Linked DNA regions of Macaca mulatta. The protein of the gene in region 1 purifies or fractionates together with the protein of each later gene. This does not show direct contact. Links are inferred from orthologs where the notes say so. Each region holds a gene or a part of one and is shown on either strand. Other genes may lie near its edges.

The links.
Region 2: the proteins of EXOSC5 (region 1) and C1D purify together in Homo sapiens (affinity purification with mass spectrometry; 4 studies listed by BioGRID and IntAct, counting the BioPlex papers as one, with this or other methods). This does not show direct contact. The link is inferred for Macaca mulatta from reciprocal best matches to the Homo sapiens genes EXOSC5 and C1D.

Annotation. Positions count from the first base shown.
Region 1 is NC_133424.1:52,538,949-52,546,551, forward strand, and holds the start of EXOSC5 (exosome complex component RRP46), read right to left. Parts: upstream 5,014-7,603; 5' UTR 4,949-5,013; coding exon 4,801-4,948; intron 578-4,800; coding exon 464-577; intron 1-463. Other genes in the region: BCKDHA (2-oxoisovalerate dehydrogenase subunit alpha, mitochondrial), read left to right, coding at 5,446-5,553. UniProt on the Homo sapiens protein: Non-catalytic component of the RNA exosome complex which has 3'->5' exoribonuclease activity and participates in a multitude of cellular RNA processing and degradation events.
Region 2 is NC_133418.1:56,663,969-56,671,512, reverse strand, and holds the start of C1D (nuclear nucleic acid-binding protein C1D), read right to left. Parts: upstream 4,175-7,544; 5' UTR 4,123-4,174; intron 1-4,122. UniProt on the Homo sapiens protein: Plays a role in the recruitment of the RNA exosome complex to pre-rRNA to mediate the 3'-5' end processing of the 5.8S rRNA; this function may include MPHOSPH6.

The sequences.
Region 1 (7,603 bases):
ATCCTAGCCAACATGGTGAAACCCCATCTCTATTAAAAAAATACAAAAAATTAGTGGGCATGGTGGCGTGCCCACCTCAACTCGAGAGGTTGAGGCAGGGGAATTGCTTGAACCCAGGAGGCAGAGGTTGCGGTTAGCCAAGATCGCGCCACTGCACTCCAGCCTGGGTGACAGAGTGAGACACCATCTCAAAATAAATAAATAAATAAATAAATAAATGAAAAGAAAAACAGGTTAATGGAATGAATGAGTGGAGGCAGAGAGAGGGAGAAAGAAGGAGGGAGAAATTAGAGGCAGAGAGAGAAGCAACAGAAGATGAGATACAGGGCAGAGAGTTAAAGACAGAAACAGCTGAGTGGGGACCAAAGCGGGGAGTGGAGACTCGGGGCAGCTGGTAGGGAAGAGCTGGGGGCCGGTTATGACAAACTGGGCACTATTCAGAGGTTCAGCAGGGCCCAATTACCAGGCAGCCCGATCTTCGGCCTCAGGATCACTTCGAGTGTGGCCTTGTTGAAGATCTCTTTGCTGACCTTCACCTCGGCCGGACCGTACACACCCGCCAGGACAGAGGTGTCACCTGAGGAGACAGCAGGGCGGGAGGGCCTCACTCACAGCTTCCCTGCTCCTGGGGCCCCATTCGTGGCACTGAGCATGATGGCCAGGGCTCCCCATGTCACCCCCGCCATTTGTTGGCAGTGATTCTTTGAGTACTCACTTCATTTCTCTGCCTGCGTATCCTCATTTGTAATATGGGGAAAATAGCAGTCGCTCCCCGCTAGCGTCTTGTGAGGATCAAAGGACACAATTCAAAGAGAACACTTAGAACACTGCGGGGCTCATGCTGAGTGCGCAACAGACTTTAGCTGATATTATTAACATTCATCCATTCATCCATTCAGGCATTCAGGCAGGGTCTCACTCTCATTGCCCAGGCTGGAGTGCAGTGGTGCCATCACAGCTCATTGCAGCCTCAACCTTCTGGGCTCAAGCGATCCTCCTGCCTCAGCCTCTCAAGTAGCTGGAACTCCAGGCACGTGCCACCATGCCTGGGTAATTTTTGTATTTTTAGTGAAGAGGGGATTTTGCCATGTTGCTCAGGCAGGTTGCGAACTCCTGGGCAACTGTAATCCCAAGGTGCTAGGATTACAGGTGTGAGCCACCATGCCTAGCCCTGATATTAGTAACTTTCTTTTTTTTTGAGATGGAGTCTCGCTCTGTTGCTCAGGCTGGAGTGCAGTGGCGTGATCTCGGCTCACTGCAACCTCTGCCTCCCGGGTTCAAGCAGTTCTCCTGCCTCAGCCTACTGAGTAGCTGGGATTACAGGTTCAAGTCACCATGCCCAGTTAATTTTTTTATTTTTAGCAGAGACTGGGTTTCACCATGTTGGTTAGGCTGGTCTCGAACTCCTGACCTCATGATCTGCCCGCCTCGGCCTCCCAAAGTGCTGGGATTACAGACATGAGCCACCATGCCCGGCCACTATTAGTAACTTTTAACAGGAAGTTCTTCCTGAAAGCTAACCATCCTCCCTCTTACTGTCACTGCTCTCAACTTCTCTTTGCAAAGGTTCCCCAGCCCAGCTCTTCCCTTAGGCACTGGTCCCCAAATTCTGCACCAGTCCAGTCTGGACACCTGAGAAAGGAATAATATCTGGAATGAATCCTGATTCCTGCTTATTTCCCCAGAAGCTATAAATGGGGTACAGGAGGTAAGACCGAAGAAATAAATAGCCTGGCTTCTAGTACTGTCTGCTGTAATCCCAGCACTTTGGGAGGCTGAGGTGGGTGGATCACCTGCGGTCAGGAGTTTGAGACCATCCTGGCCAACATGGTGAAACCCCATCTCTACTAAAAATACAAAAATTGGCTGGGCATGGTGGTGGGTGCCTGTAATCTCAGCTACTCGGGAGGCCGAGGCAGAATTGCTGGAACCGGGGAGGCGGAGGTTGCAGTGAGCCGAGATGGCACCATTCCACTCCAGCCTGGACAATAACAGCGAGACTCCGTCTCAAAAAAAAAAAAAAAAAAAAAAAAAAACCCAAAACATTTGAGGCCAGACATGGTGCCTCACACCTGTAATCCCAGCACTCTGGAGGCCCAGGTGGGAGGACTGCTCGAGGCCAGGAGTTTGAGACCTGCCTGAGCAACATAGCAAGACTCCTGTCTCTATTTTCTTTTTTGAGACAAAGTTTCCCTCTGTCACCCAGGAGGCTGGAGTGCAGTTGTGCAATCTCAGCTCACTGCAACCTCCGCCTCCCAGGCTCAAGTGATTCTCGTGCCTCAGCCTCCAGAGTAGCTGAGATTATAGGTGCGTGCCACCTTGTCCGACTAATTTTTGTATTTTTAGTAGAGACGGGTTTTCACCATGTTGGCCAGGCTGGTCTCAGAACTCCTGACCTCGACTGGGCGAGGTGGCTCACGCCTGTAATCCCAGCAATTTGGGAGGCCGAGGCGGGTGGATCACGAGGTCAGGAGTTCAAGATCAGTCTGGCCAACATGGTGAAACCCCGTCTCTACTAAAAACTACAAAAATTAGCTGGGCGTGGGAGCACACGCCTGTGGTCCTGGCTACTCGGGAGGCTGAGGCAGAAGAATCGCTGGAACCTGGGAGGTGGAGGTTGCAGTGAGCCACGATCGCTTCACTGCACTCTAGCCTGGGTGACAGGGCGAGACTCTGTGTCAAAAAAAAAAAAAGAATTACTGACCTCAGGTGATCTACCCTCATCGGCCTCCCAAGGTGCTTGGATTACCGGTGTGAGCAACCCATGTGAGCAACTGCGCCCGGCCCCTTCTTAATTCTTAGGTTCGAAGAAACTTGAGGTATCTCAATTCAGCATAAGTGCTAAGCCTGAGGGAGGGTCCGGGAAGGTCCCTGGTTAAGGCGGTATTTCCTGGGATGCCCAATTTGCCCTTACACGGAAGGTGTGCTTAGTTCCAGGAAAAACTGCCCTGAGGACTGGAGAAACCAAAATAGAACTCGCCTCTGGCTCCAGATGAACTGCCTGTGTTTCGCCTGAGCACAAGAGTCCCTCCCCTCTCACCTTCTTCAAGACGTGGCTCCAGCAATTCTCTCCCCTGTTGACCCCACAACCATCTTCAATTCCTGCCCCACTTATCTGATCCTCTTACAGCAAAACTCCTGAACAGCTGTCTATTCTTCCTTTCCTGTGACCCCACCACTCCACTGCGGCAGCTCAACATCGTCACCACTGACCTCCAAATGATCAACCCTCCATTGACCCGGCTGTCAGTAAGGCCGAAACAGCTGTCAGCCCTCACATCTCAGACACGCTCTTCTCTTGGCCCCAGGTCACCACCCTCTCCCGGTTTCCCCCTAAGTCTCTGGGCGTTCCTTCTGAGTCTCCTTTAGCTTGCTTGTCACAAGTCCCTGACTGCTCAAGTTGGAAGGCCTAGGGCTTGGTCCTGGGACCTCTTTTCCATCTACACTGACTTCGTTCAGTCAATAGGCTGAAATACCATATATACAGCCAGAGAGTTCCAAATTGCCTATGTCCAGCTTGGGTCTCTCTCCTGATTTCCAGACTTGTACAGATCTGGGCAGAAACCTTAGTTATGCCTGACTCTTTTTCCTCGCACTCAAACCAAACTATAGGTAAGTTTTGTCCGTTTTACTTTCAAACTACATCCAGAATCTCATCACCTCCACTACTCCTGTTCTGGCTGGAGCCACCATCACCTCCCTGTTTTCCCCCATACTCCCCACAATCAACACAGCAGCCAGATTTTGTTAAAATGTATTGGGGCTGGGCGTGGTGGCTGGTACCTATATGAGCACTTTGGGAGGAGGACTGCTTGAGTCCAGGAGTTCAAGACCAACCTGGGCAACATCGTGAGACCCTGTCTCAAAATTTTTTTTTTTTTTTTGAGACATTATCTTGTTTTGTCGTGCACACTGGAGTACAATGGCACAATCTTGGCTCACTGCAACTTCTGCCTCCTGGGTTCAAGAGATTCTCCTGCCTCAGCCTCCCCAGTAGCTGGGATTACAGGCGCCCACCACCATGCCTGGCTAATTTTTGTACTTTTAGTAGAGTCGGGGTTTCGCCATGTTGGCCAGGCTGGTCTCGAACTCCTGACCTCAGGTGATCCACCCGCCTTGGCCTCCCAAAGTGTGGGGATTACAGGCGTGAGCCACTGTGCCCAGCCTCCTGTCTCAAACGTTAAAGAGAAATATTCTTGGAGTTAATCTGGTTCTGAGAGTTATTTAGCTAGGGGAAGGGGATATTTGCCCTATAGGTAAGACTTGCCCTAATCTTAGGGATATTTACTCCTGTGGAGAGATGCAGTGAGGTAGCGGTGGGGATGTATTTTTCAACCCAGGGCAGTGACATTATCTTCAATTTGAGGAGTATTTACGTGGGTGAAAGATCCGCCACAGTCCAGAGTATGCAAATTGACAGGTTTGCGTCAGTCCGGGATGCAAGGACCTAGCGGGCGTGTGTGTGGGGCGGGCGGGGGCGGGGGTGAGGAGGAGGAACCTAGTTAAGGGCGATATTTACCCTGGTGAGGTGATTTTCCCTATTCTGAAATATCAATTCTTGCGGGGACGGTCTGCCCCGCCTGTCATTCTCAGACATATTTACAAAGATGGAGCTATCTTCTCCTTTCTAGTCGTGAGGGAGAGATGTATGTATCCCTGCGTATGTAGTAGTATTCAATCGGACAAGAAATCATGTATCAACGCAGGAGTGACATTTACCAGCTGGTATCATGGGGAGATGGGCACTCCGTTGCACGGTACATGGTAGTCCCTCTCCAAAAGACCTGGGTAAGTTCTTACCTTGCAGGAAGGAAGCAGAGCCATCTGGCCGCGACAGCAGGTTCTGTTCGCAGGCAAAGTGCCGGAGGCTGCAGCCGGGACCCCGAGGGCTGCACCCTGTTCCAATTTCAGCGCGGATTTTGGCGTCAGTATGCATCTCCTCCTCCATCGCGCCGACCCCACGTGCGGCTGCGATTATCACTTCCGCCCGGCAGCGCGCGCTGCGAACACTCTGCGTAACCATTGCGCACGCGCTGGGCTCGGCCGTCAGTCCTGGCGTCCGCACGTGGCTTAGCGTTTACCAACAATCTGGCTCCGCCCAGTCCCACCTCCTAACTCTGGCAACGCCATTGGACAGTTGAGAACAGGAGGCAGGCCTTGGCAGTGACCTGTTTTACTCTGGGCCCCCGGGCCCTAAATCCCTGAGGCCGTGGTCAGGTTGCCCTCTTCTTTGCCTGTTACAGGAGTAACTACAATGAGGCGACTGGGGAAAATTTTGGGTAGATAGGTTTTCTTCTCCAAATCTCTGTGCATTCTATCTACAACAGAATGGGAAGAAGGTGATTTTCTTGTCAGATGGTGCTGGAGTTTGTGTCAGGCACATAAAGGGGCAGCCCCGAATCTAGCCTACGTGAGTGCCCTACCGCTGAGTGGTTGCTAGCCAAGATGGCGGTAGCGATCGCTGCGGCGAGGGTCTGGCGGCCAAACCGAGGCCTGAGCCAGGCTGCCCTCTTGCTGCTGTGGCGGCCTGGGGCTCGGGGACTGGCTAGATCTGTGAGTACCTGGGCCCCAGGGGGTTTTCCCAAAGGGGATTAGGGATGTAAAGGCTATCTTCAGAGTGTGGGGTCCCTGAAGGATATGAAGGAAGGGCTGTCACAGAAGGGAAAAAGAGTGGGAGACCCCTTGGAGAAGACACCGAAGGGAAGATCTGCCACTTCCTTAGAAGAAAAGAACTTCCACTTCTTCAGGAGAGGACAAAACCCGTTTGCAACTTCTTTGTGGGCCCTGAGGAAGGGAGACGACTTGAAGAGAGGGATGGGAGTTCCTTATTTATTTATTTAGTTAGTTTTTGAGGCGGAGTCTGGAGTGCAGTGGCCGGATCTCAGCTCACTGCAAGCTCTGCCTCCCGGATTCACGCCGTTCTCCTGCCTCAGCCTCCCGAGTAGCTGGGACTACAGGCGCCCGCCGCCACCCCCGGCTAATTTTTTTTTTTTGCATTTTTAGTAGAGACGGGGTTTCACTGTGTTAGCCAGGATGGTCTCGATCTCCTGACCTCGTGATCCGCCCACCTCGGCCTCCCAAAGTGCTGGAATTACAGGCGTGAGCCAGCGCGCCCGGCCGGGGGTTCCTTATTAACTGCCACTCGTATTCAGGGGAGGTTCCTTGGAGGGACAGGGGAAGACCGCGAGACCTTTTCCCTCAGGCTTTGGAGAATGAAACTGACTTTATAAAGGAGAGACTTTCTTCTGGGCAAAGATCCCTCTTCAAGAAGAAGAAAGAAGAGAGCAAGTCCCCTTATCGCAGGCTGCATAGGGCCTTGTATTTCTTTGCTCCTTTGCCACAATTCTGATTTTAAAATGAATTGTGTAAAAATTTTGTTTGGTTCCTGTGTCTCCTGATCGAATATCAAGACAGGGAACTCGTGTGTTCTGGACACTGTACAGAGGAGATGATTAATATTTGTTGAGTTAATGAGGGGAAAAACGGAGGGACAGAGGTACAGATAGGGCACTTTGCCCACATTTCTTAGAAACACTTGAGAAGGCTTTGTTTCTTGTCAAAAGGGTCACAATCCCTTCAGGTGGATGCTGTCAAAATTACACTGCAAAAAACCTGGGTGGAAGCCTCTCTTTAGAGGGGGAGAGGCAAGGGGTTGCAGAAGAGCTTTGAACTACATTTGACAGATAGGAGAGTAGTGGTTACATGGGTGGGTTCATGTCCTTGCTCTGCCACTTTCCACTTGTGTATTGGGCAACGGACTGCACCTCTCTGGATCTATGGACCTAATTTCCCTCTCTAAAATATTAACAGTGGCCACCTCATAGGACTGTGAAAAATTAATATGTAAAATGCTAAGGACTGGACCTGGCACATCATAAGGGCAATAGGAATGTTGGTCATTGTTGATAGTGAGGGTAGAGGGAAAGGACAGAAACTGACGTTGGAGATGGGGAGAAGAAAAGGGTGACCTTGGGAAGGCCTGGACTGGTGAGGCCCTGCGGAAAAAAATCTTAAAAGATCTTGTGAGGTTGAGTCTGATCCTCTGATCCCCAATCCATAAGGAGGAGAAGATGGAATCTGTAGAAAGAAGCTCTGGGTAGGGGGACAAACGGGAGGAGGGTGAAGAGGATGGGCCAGGAGTAGGACGTAGTAGGTATCTAGGAATGGAGTCACTTGAAACAGGTAAATGCAGAAGGGCTGCAGGAGCAAGATGTGGGTAGGGCAGTCTCCTGCCTTTGGGCTGGAGACCTTTTCACTTTTTTTTTTTTGGAGCAGTTCATATCCTCCACCGCTGATCTCAGTCCCAGGAGCCTATTGGCTGGGCAACTGGGGCGGGAAGTGGGCAGGACTGGGGCAGGGTAGGGAAAGGTCATTTAAGGCTGATTAAATCTTTCTCTCCTGTCTCAATCTCCTGATTACCTTTCCTCTTGCTTCCCCTCCTTCATTTGTGGTGAGGAATGGGGAGGGAAGAAGTCCCTACTTTTAATTTTTTAATATATCTTTAAATTTGTATTATCTTAGAGTTATTGTTTTTTCCCCTTTATTTCTCCCACCTGTTCTTTCTCTCTTCTTTCTTTCCTCTCCTTCTCTTCTCCTCTCCTCC
Region 2 (7,544 bases), on another chromosome or scaffold:
GAACATGGGGCATTAGCAAATGGCCACAGAGGAAAGAGGACTGGCAAAAGCATCTTTAAAACAGCTAACTGGGAGATGTGACCATGAAGGAAGGGAACTGAGGTGCTATCATAGCCCTTTCCCTCTACTTGGAATACCCGTGTTCCTCCGTTTTGCATTGCTATGCAGGAATACCTGAGGTTGGGTAATTTAATAACGAAAAGAGGTTAGATTTGGCTCCCAGTTCTGCAGGCTACACAACAAGCACGGTACCAGCATCTGCTTTTGGTGAGATAAAGGGGGAGCAGACATGTGACATGGCGGGAGAAGCGGCAAGAGACAGAAGAGGAGCTTCCATGCTCTTTTAAACAACCAGCACTAGGAGTGAACTAACAGAGTGAGAACTCAACTCATTACCTCAAGGACAAAACCAAGACATTGTCTGCCTCCATGACCCAAATATCTCCCACCGGGCCTACCTCCAACACTGGAAGTCACATTTCAACAAGAGATCTGGAGGAGACACACACCCAAATCATATCAACCTCCTCTTCATAACTGTCTCCATTTTCTTGGCCTATCAATCCTTTAAAACCCACATCAAATGCTCCCTCCTCTATAAAGGTGTCCATACCTCCCAAACAAAGGTAGTCTCTTCTTCCTCTTTGCTCCCAAGTTTCTCTGAATATAACTGTAATACAGTTATCACACTGCTGTGCAACTATATGCTTGACTTAACGTAATGACATATCTATCAATAACACTCCTCAAGTTCTTGATAAATCCAAAGGTGTCAATCCTCACTTCACCCGATCCATCAGCTGCACTACTCTACTCTAAATTCCACAACACCAGACTCAAAATTGTCCTTGTCCCTCACTGGCTGCTCAGGCTGTCTCATTTGGTGGTTATTCCTCATTTTCCTAACTTGTTAATGTTAAAATGCCTAAGGACTCAGGCCTTGTGCCCCTTCTCTTTTCTGCCTACATTTACTCTTTTAACGACTGTCTCTGGTCTCACAACTTTAAATACCATCTGTTCACTGACAACTCTCAAATGTCTGTTTCCAGCAATGACCACTCTGAAGTCCGGAATGAACATACTTAACTGCCTACTCAACATCTCCGCTTAGATGACTAACAGACATTACAAACTTATCACCTCCTTAACTGAACTCCGAATCTTCCCACAAACCTGCCCCTCCCACAGTTTTCTATTTCTCAGTTAACGGCAATTTCATTCTTCTAGTTGCTCAAGCCCCAAACTTTGACAATAACCTTATTCTTACAATTCACTTTCAATCTGTAAGCAATTCTATTGGCTTTTCCTAGAAAATACATCTAAAATTAAACTGCTTCTCCATCTTCACTTCTTTCCAATTAAGATGTTATCATCTCATCTGAACTACAACACCTCCATGATTAGTCTCATGGTTTTCACCTACCCCACCCCACAACAAACTATTCTTAACACAGAAGCCACAGAAGATTCTATTAAAACCTAAGTCAGGCCAGGCGCAGTGGCTGACGCCTGTAATCCCAGCACTTTGGGAGGCCAAGACAGGCAGATCACCTGAGGTCAGAAGTTTAAGACCAGCCTGGCCAACATGGTGAAACCCCATTTCTACTAAAAATACAAAAAAAATTAGCCGGGCGTGGTGACACGTGCCTGTAATCCCAGCTACTTAGGAGGCTGAGGCAGGAGAATCGTTGGAACCCAGGAGGCGGAGGTTGCAGTGAGCTGAGATTGCACCACTGCACTCCAGCCTGGGCAACAGAGCCAGACTCCGAAAGAAAAGAAGTGGGGGGGGTGAGGTGGGGTGGGGCGGGGCGGGGCAGGGCAGGGCAGGAAAGGAAACAAAAGAAAACAAAAGAACAGACAATAAAGTAAAGTAAAACAAAATAAAACATAAAGTAAAATAAAATAAACCTAAGTCAGATCATGTCACTCCTCTGCTCTTACCTTTCCATTGGTTATTTACTCACTGGGCTATTCCTCAAGGTAAGATTCATGTCGAGGTACATTTTGAACACATCACTAACATAATGTCTTGTCATGTATTAGGTATTTAGCAACTATTTGTTAACTAACTAAAACCAACCAAAGTAACCTAAGACCTAATTTTGGAAACTCTTAATATCAGATTACAGTTTGAGCTTACAGATAATAGAAAGTCACCACATGGATCCAAACAAACATATGATCATGTACGTTCTGGGGCTCTTCCCATCTCTACACCAAATAATTATACACAGTTATGAACTAAGCTTGAGAATAAATCCAACATGATTGTGTTTTGGAACTTGAGAGCCACTTGCTGTTGCTGCACCAGAATTCTATCACTCGTAATGAATTACTGGAATGGCTTTTTTGCACTGCATTATCTCAGGAGAAAATAACAATGAAATGTACACACAAGTTCTCAATAAATATTGCTGTCTTGGGCAAACAGTGACTCCATGTTAGTATTGTCTGTGACTCTCCTTCAGTCTCACAGTACAATTCCTGAGTACATACAGACTTCTTCCTTTTCTAAAAAAGATATTAACATCTAAAAATAAATGTATCCAGAAGTCTAATAATAGAGGAGTATATAAATTATGAGGATATTGCTCAAGATTGAGATGAATAACTACATTAGATTAAATTTACTTCTATTCAGTGTTTAATTCAAAGCATTTCCAAAATTACAGCGATCAAGCAGCAAAATTACCTTCCAAAACATATGGAAGTGGCTTATTACAATCACCTCATTTCTTAAATAACAGTATATGGGGTTGCTGCATAGATTAAATAAATAATATAGATAAAAGCCATCAGAACAGGGCCTGGCTCAGCCCTCAATACATTAGATAGTATTTTACCAAAAGTGAAAGTTATCAAATACTCTAATCCATTGTGGACTATGTAGAGCTATGCTTGAAGGGTCAACTGTTTGGAAACAGTAGCTGAGATAATACATATGAAGAGCCATTTGAAAAGGTAAAAGCAGTTAAGAAAAAAAATTGCATTACTTCTGAACTGTGATACATACAACACAGCTAACTGAAGGCAGCTGTAGTATCTTTTGACTGAGAATTTTGTTTTATTTTGAAAAACCATTATTCACACTTATCATTATCTTTCAACAAAACAATGAGTTCTATCATTTCCACTAAACGCAAATACTTCTCTGTACTTCGACAGGGCTAATCTGTTAATTTTGAATCAAAAATACAGGGTTAAATAACTAAAAGTATAATTGGATTGTTTGTAACACAAAGGGTAAGTGCCTGAAGGGATGGATGCCCCATTTTCCATGTGATTATTACACATTGCCTGCCTGTATCAAAACATCTCGTGTACCCCATAAATATATACACCTACTATGTAACCACAAAAATTTTAAATTTAATTTTTTTAAAAATCACGGTTAAGTCTTGGTTCTGTCTACCATCAGACAGTACCAATGGGTTAATAAGTGGATAGCAGACATCTCATTGCGACAAATAAGTCTGTATCAAGCCAAAACTGAATTGTATTCAGCAAACATGAAGACATTAAAGGTATTTTCAAGCAAGTTTTAGTTACACTGAACTTTCCCGGGTCATCAAGAAAAACTGCTCTCTTGGATTACCCACCACAGATTTCAGCTAAAGGTCGAAATTAGCCCACTATCTCAGACGGGCTAATACTGCAGCGGCAGGCAGTCTGTGAATGTGAATGATAAACGGAGCTAACACAGTAAAGTGACTCCCCTAGACGTCCCACTTTAGCCTCTCTCCTTACGCAAGATTTGAAGACAGCTGAAAATTGTGAAGTCATGTTTTTTTTGTTGTTGTTGTTTTTAATTTTTTCGTCTTCCAAGAGTTGAGAAGGGGGTGGTTAACAAACGAAGAAAAAGAGAAAGACCGGAGCAAGAGAGAGAAATGAGGGGCCGGGGTAAGCCAAAGCCTGCAAGCAGCCCCAAAACAAGCGGAAGTGGGGGACCTGCAGCAATGCTGCCCCAGCGAAGAGCTGTGAGACACTGCATTCCTGGAAGGCTATGCAGCCAAACTCCGATTCTCTCAGTCTGCCCAGAGGATTACAGGGGAATCCCAGGAGAGGAAAAGCGGAGTTAAACAGGAGGAGGAGAAAAACTGAAAGTACAACTTTGAAAAATACCTCAGGGCCTTCGACTACAGTCTCCGGAAAGCGGTCGGGCAACGATGACGACAATGACGCGCCGGCTGTGCCCGCGCCGAGGGGCGCTTTCCGATTATCTCACGCTGCTCGCCACGCCCCCGCTCCTTCGCTCTTCTCTAAAGGCAAATCTCGAAATGAGTAGCTCGGGGCCATGTTGTGGGAGAGGATTGCGGCGGCACTCTGGGAACCTTTGTCTACATTTGTACCCGGCCAACACTCAGCCCAAATACAGGTTGAGTGTATTTAACCAGGAAAGAAATCTTAGTTACTGAAACTTTGTATTTTTACTTTCCCGGGAGCTTTTCCAGGGCCCTCACTGTTACTACGCTTTTATTGTCTGCCTCAAGATCAGCGTCTTAGAGCAGCTTCCCAGATTATCCGTGGGGAAGAATGGGTTGTTTTTCCAATCTGTCAGTAAAAGATACTTCTATAATACAGTAAAAATGAATTAGTAGAAAAATGGGGAAAATATGTGCAAAATACAAGCCCAAATTTTTTATTATTAGTTTCAGTAAATGTAAAATTGCATTTCAACGTATGCAATCAGAAGAAACATAATAGAAAATAAAGGCATTAACAGAAACTGTACATATTGTTCGTTGAAAGTTTAGTATAAGCGATTGAGCATTGTCTTAACATTTGTAACTTGTCATTCCATGATCATAATTTGATAAAAATTTATGCCTGAGTTGTCCATATATTAAATGCATGTAAAAGCATTTTGAACAAGCACCATGTATGTAATATTTAAAGTTTGGGGGAGGTCACAAGATGGCCGAATAGGAACAGCTCCAATCTGCAGCTCCCAGTGTGAGTGAGGCAGAAGACAGGTGATTTCTGCATTTCCAACTGAGGTACCAAGTTCATCTCACTAGGGCTTCTCAGACAGTGGGTGGAGCCCACAGAGCAGGGCGGGGCATGACCTCACCTGGGAAGCACAAGGGGTCCGGGAATTCCCTTTCCTGGCAAAGGGAAACCGTGATAGACCATAACTGGAAAATCAGTACACTCCCACCCTAATACTGCATTTTTCCAGCGGTCTTAGCAAACGGCACACCAGGAGATTATATCCCGTGCCAGGATCGGAGGGTCCCACACCCACAGAGCCTTGCTCACTGCTAGCACAGCAGTCTGAGATCGAACTGCAAGGCAGCAGCGAGGCTCAGGGAGGGACATCTGCCATTACTGTGGCTTGAGTAGGTAAACAAAGTGGCTGGGAAGCTGGAACTGGGTGGAGCCCACCGCAGCTCAAGGAAGCCTGCCTGCCTCTGTAGACTCCACCTCTGGGGGTGGGGCATAACTGAAAAAAAGACAGCAGAAACTTCTGCAGACTTAAACGTCCCTATCTGACAGCTTTGAAGAGAGTACTGCTTCTCCCAGCGCGGAGTTTGAGATCTGAGAACGGACAGACTGCCTCCTCAAGTGGGTCCCTGACCCCTGAGTAGCCTAACTGGAGACACCTCTCTGTAGGGGCCAACTAACAATTCATACAGGTGGGTGCCCCTCTGAGATGAAGCTTCCAGGGGAAGGATCAGGCAGCAACATTTGCTGTTCTGCAGCCTCTGCTGGTGATTCCCAGGTAAACAAGGTCTGGAGTGGACCTCCAGCAAACTCCAGCAGACCTGCAGCTGAGGGTCCTGGCTGTTAGAAGGAAAACTAACAAACAGGAAGGACATCCACACCAAAACCCCATCTGTATGTCACCATCATCAAAGACCAAAGGTAGATAAAACCACAAAGATGGGGAGAAATCAGAGCAGAAAAGCTGAAAATTCTAAAAATCAGAGTGTCTCTTCTCCTCCAAAGGAACACAGCTCCTCGCCAGCAATGGAACAAAGCTGGATGGCGAATGACTTTGAAAAGTTGAGAGAAGAAGGCTTCAGATGATCAGTAGTAACAAACTTCTCCGAGCTAAAGGAGGATGTTCAAACCCATCGCAAAGAGCTAAAAACCTGAAGAAAGATTAAACGAATGACTAACTAGAAAAAACAGTGTAGAGAAGTCCTTAAATGACCTGATGGAGCTGAAAACCATGGCACAAGAACTATGTGACACATGCACAAGCTTCAGTAGCCGATTTGATCAAGTGGAAGAAACAGTATCAGTGATTGAAGATCAAATGAATGAAATGAAATGAGAAGTTTAGAGAAAAAAGAATAAAAAGAAATGAACAAAGCCTCCAAGAAATATGGGACTATGTGAAACGACCAAATCTACATCTGATTTGTGTACCTGAAAGTGACGGGGAGAATGGAACCAAGTTGGAAAACACTCTTCAGGACATTATTCAGGAGAACTTCCCCAATCTAGCAAAGCTGGCCAGCATGCAAATTCAGGAAATACAGAGAACACCACAAAGATACTCCTTGAGAAGAGCAACTCCAAGACACATCACTATCAGATTCACCGAAGTTGAAATGAAGGAAAAAATGTTAAGGGCAGCCAGAGAGAAAGGTTGGGTTACCCACAAAGGGAAGCCCATCAGACTAATAGCAGATCTCTCGGCAGAAACTCTACAAACCAGAAGAGAGTGGGGGCCAATATTCAACATTCTTAAAGAAAAGAATTTTCAACCCAGAATATCATATCCACCCAAACTAAGCTTCATAAAGGAAGGAGAAATAAAATCCTTTACAAACAAACAAATGCTGAGAGATTTTGTCACCGCCAGGCCTGCCTTACAAGAGCTCCTGAAGGAAGCACTAAACACAGAAAGGAACAACTGGAACCAGCCACTGCAAAAACATGCCAAATTGTAAAGACCATCAATGCTAGGAAGAAACTGCATCAACTAACAAGCAGAATAACCAGCTAACATCATAATGACAAGATTAAGTTCACACATAACAATATTAGCCTTAAATGTAAACGGGCTAAATGCTCCAATTAAAAGACACAGACTGGCAGTTTGGATAAAGAGTCAGGACCCATCAGGTGCGGTATTCAGGAGACCCATCTCATGTGCAGAGACACACATAGGCTCAAAATAAAGGGATGGAGGAAGATCTACCAAGCAAATGGAAAACAAAAAAAAAGCAGGGGTTGCAATCCTAATCTCTGATAAAACAGACTTTAAACCAACAAAGATCAAAAGAGACAAAGAAGGCCACTACATAATGGTAAATAGATCAGTTCAAATAGAAGAGCTAACTATCCTAAATATATAGGCACCCAATACAGGAGCACCCAGATTCATAAAGCAAGTCCTTAGAGACCTATAAAGAGACTTAGACTCCCACACAATAATACTGGGAAACTTTAACACCCCACTGTCAATATTAGACAGGTCAATGAGACAGAAAGTTAACAAGGATATCCAGGAATTGAACTCAGCTCTGCACCAAGCAGACCTAATAGACATCTACAGAACTCTCCACCCCAAATCAACAGAATATACATTC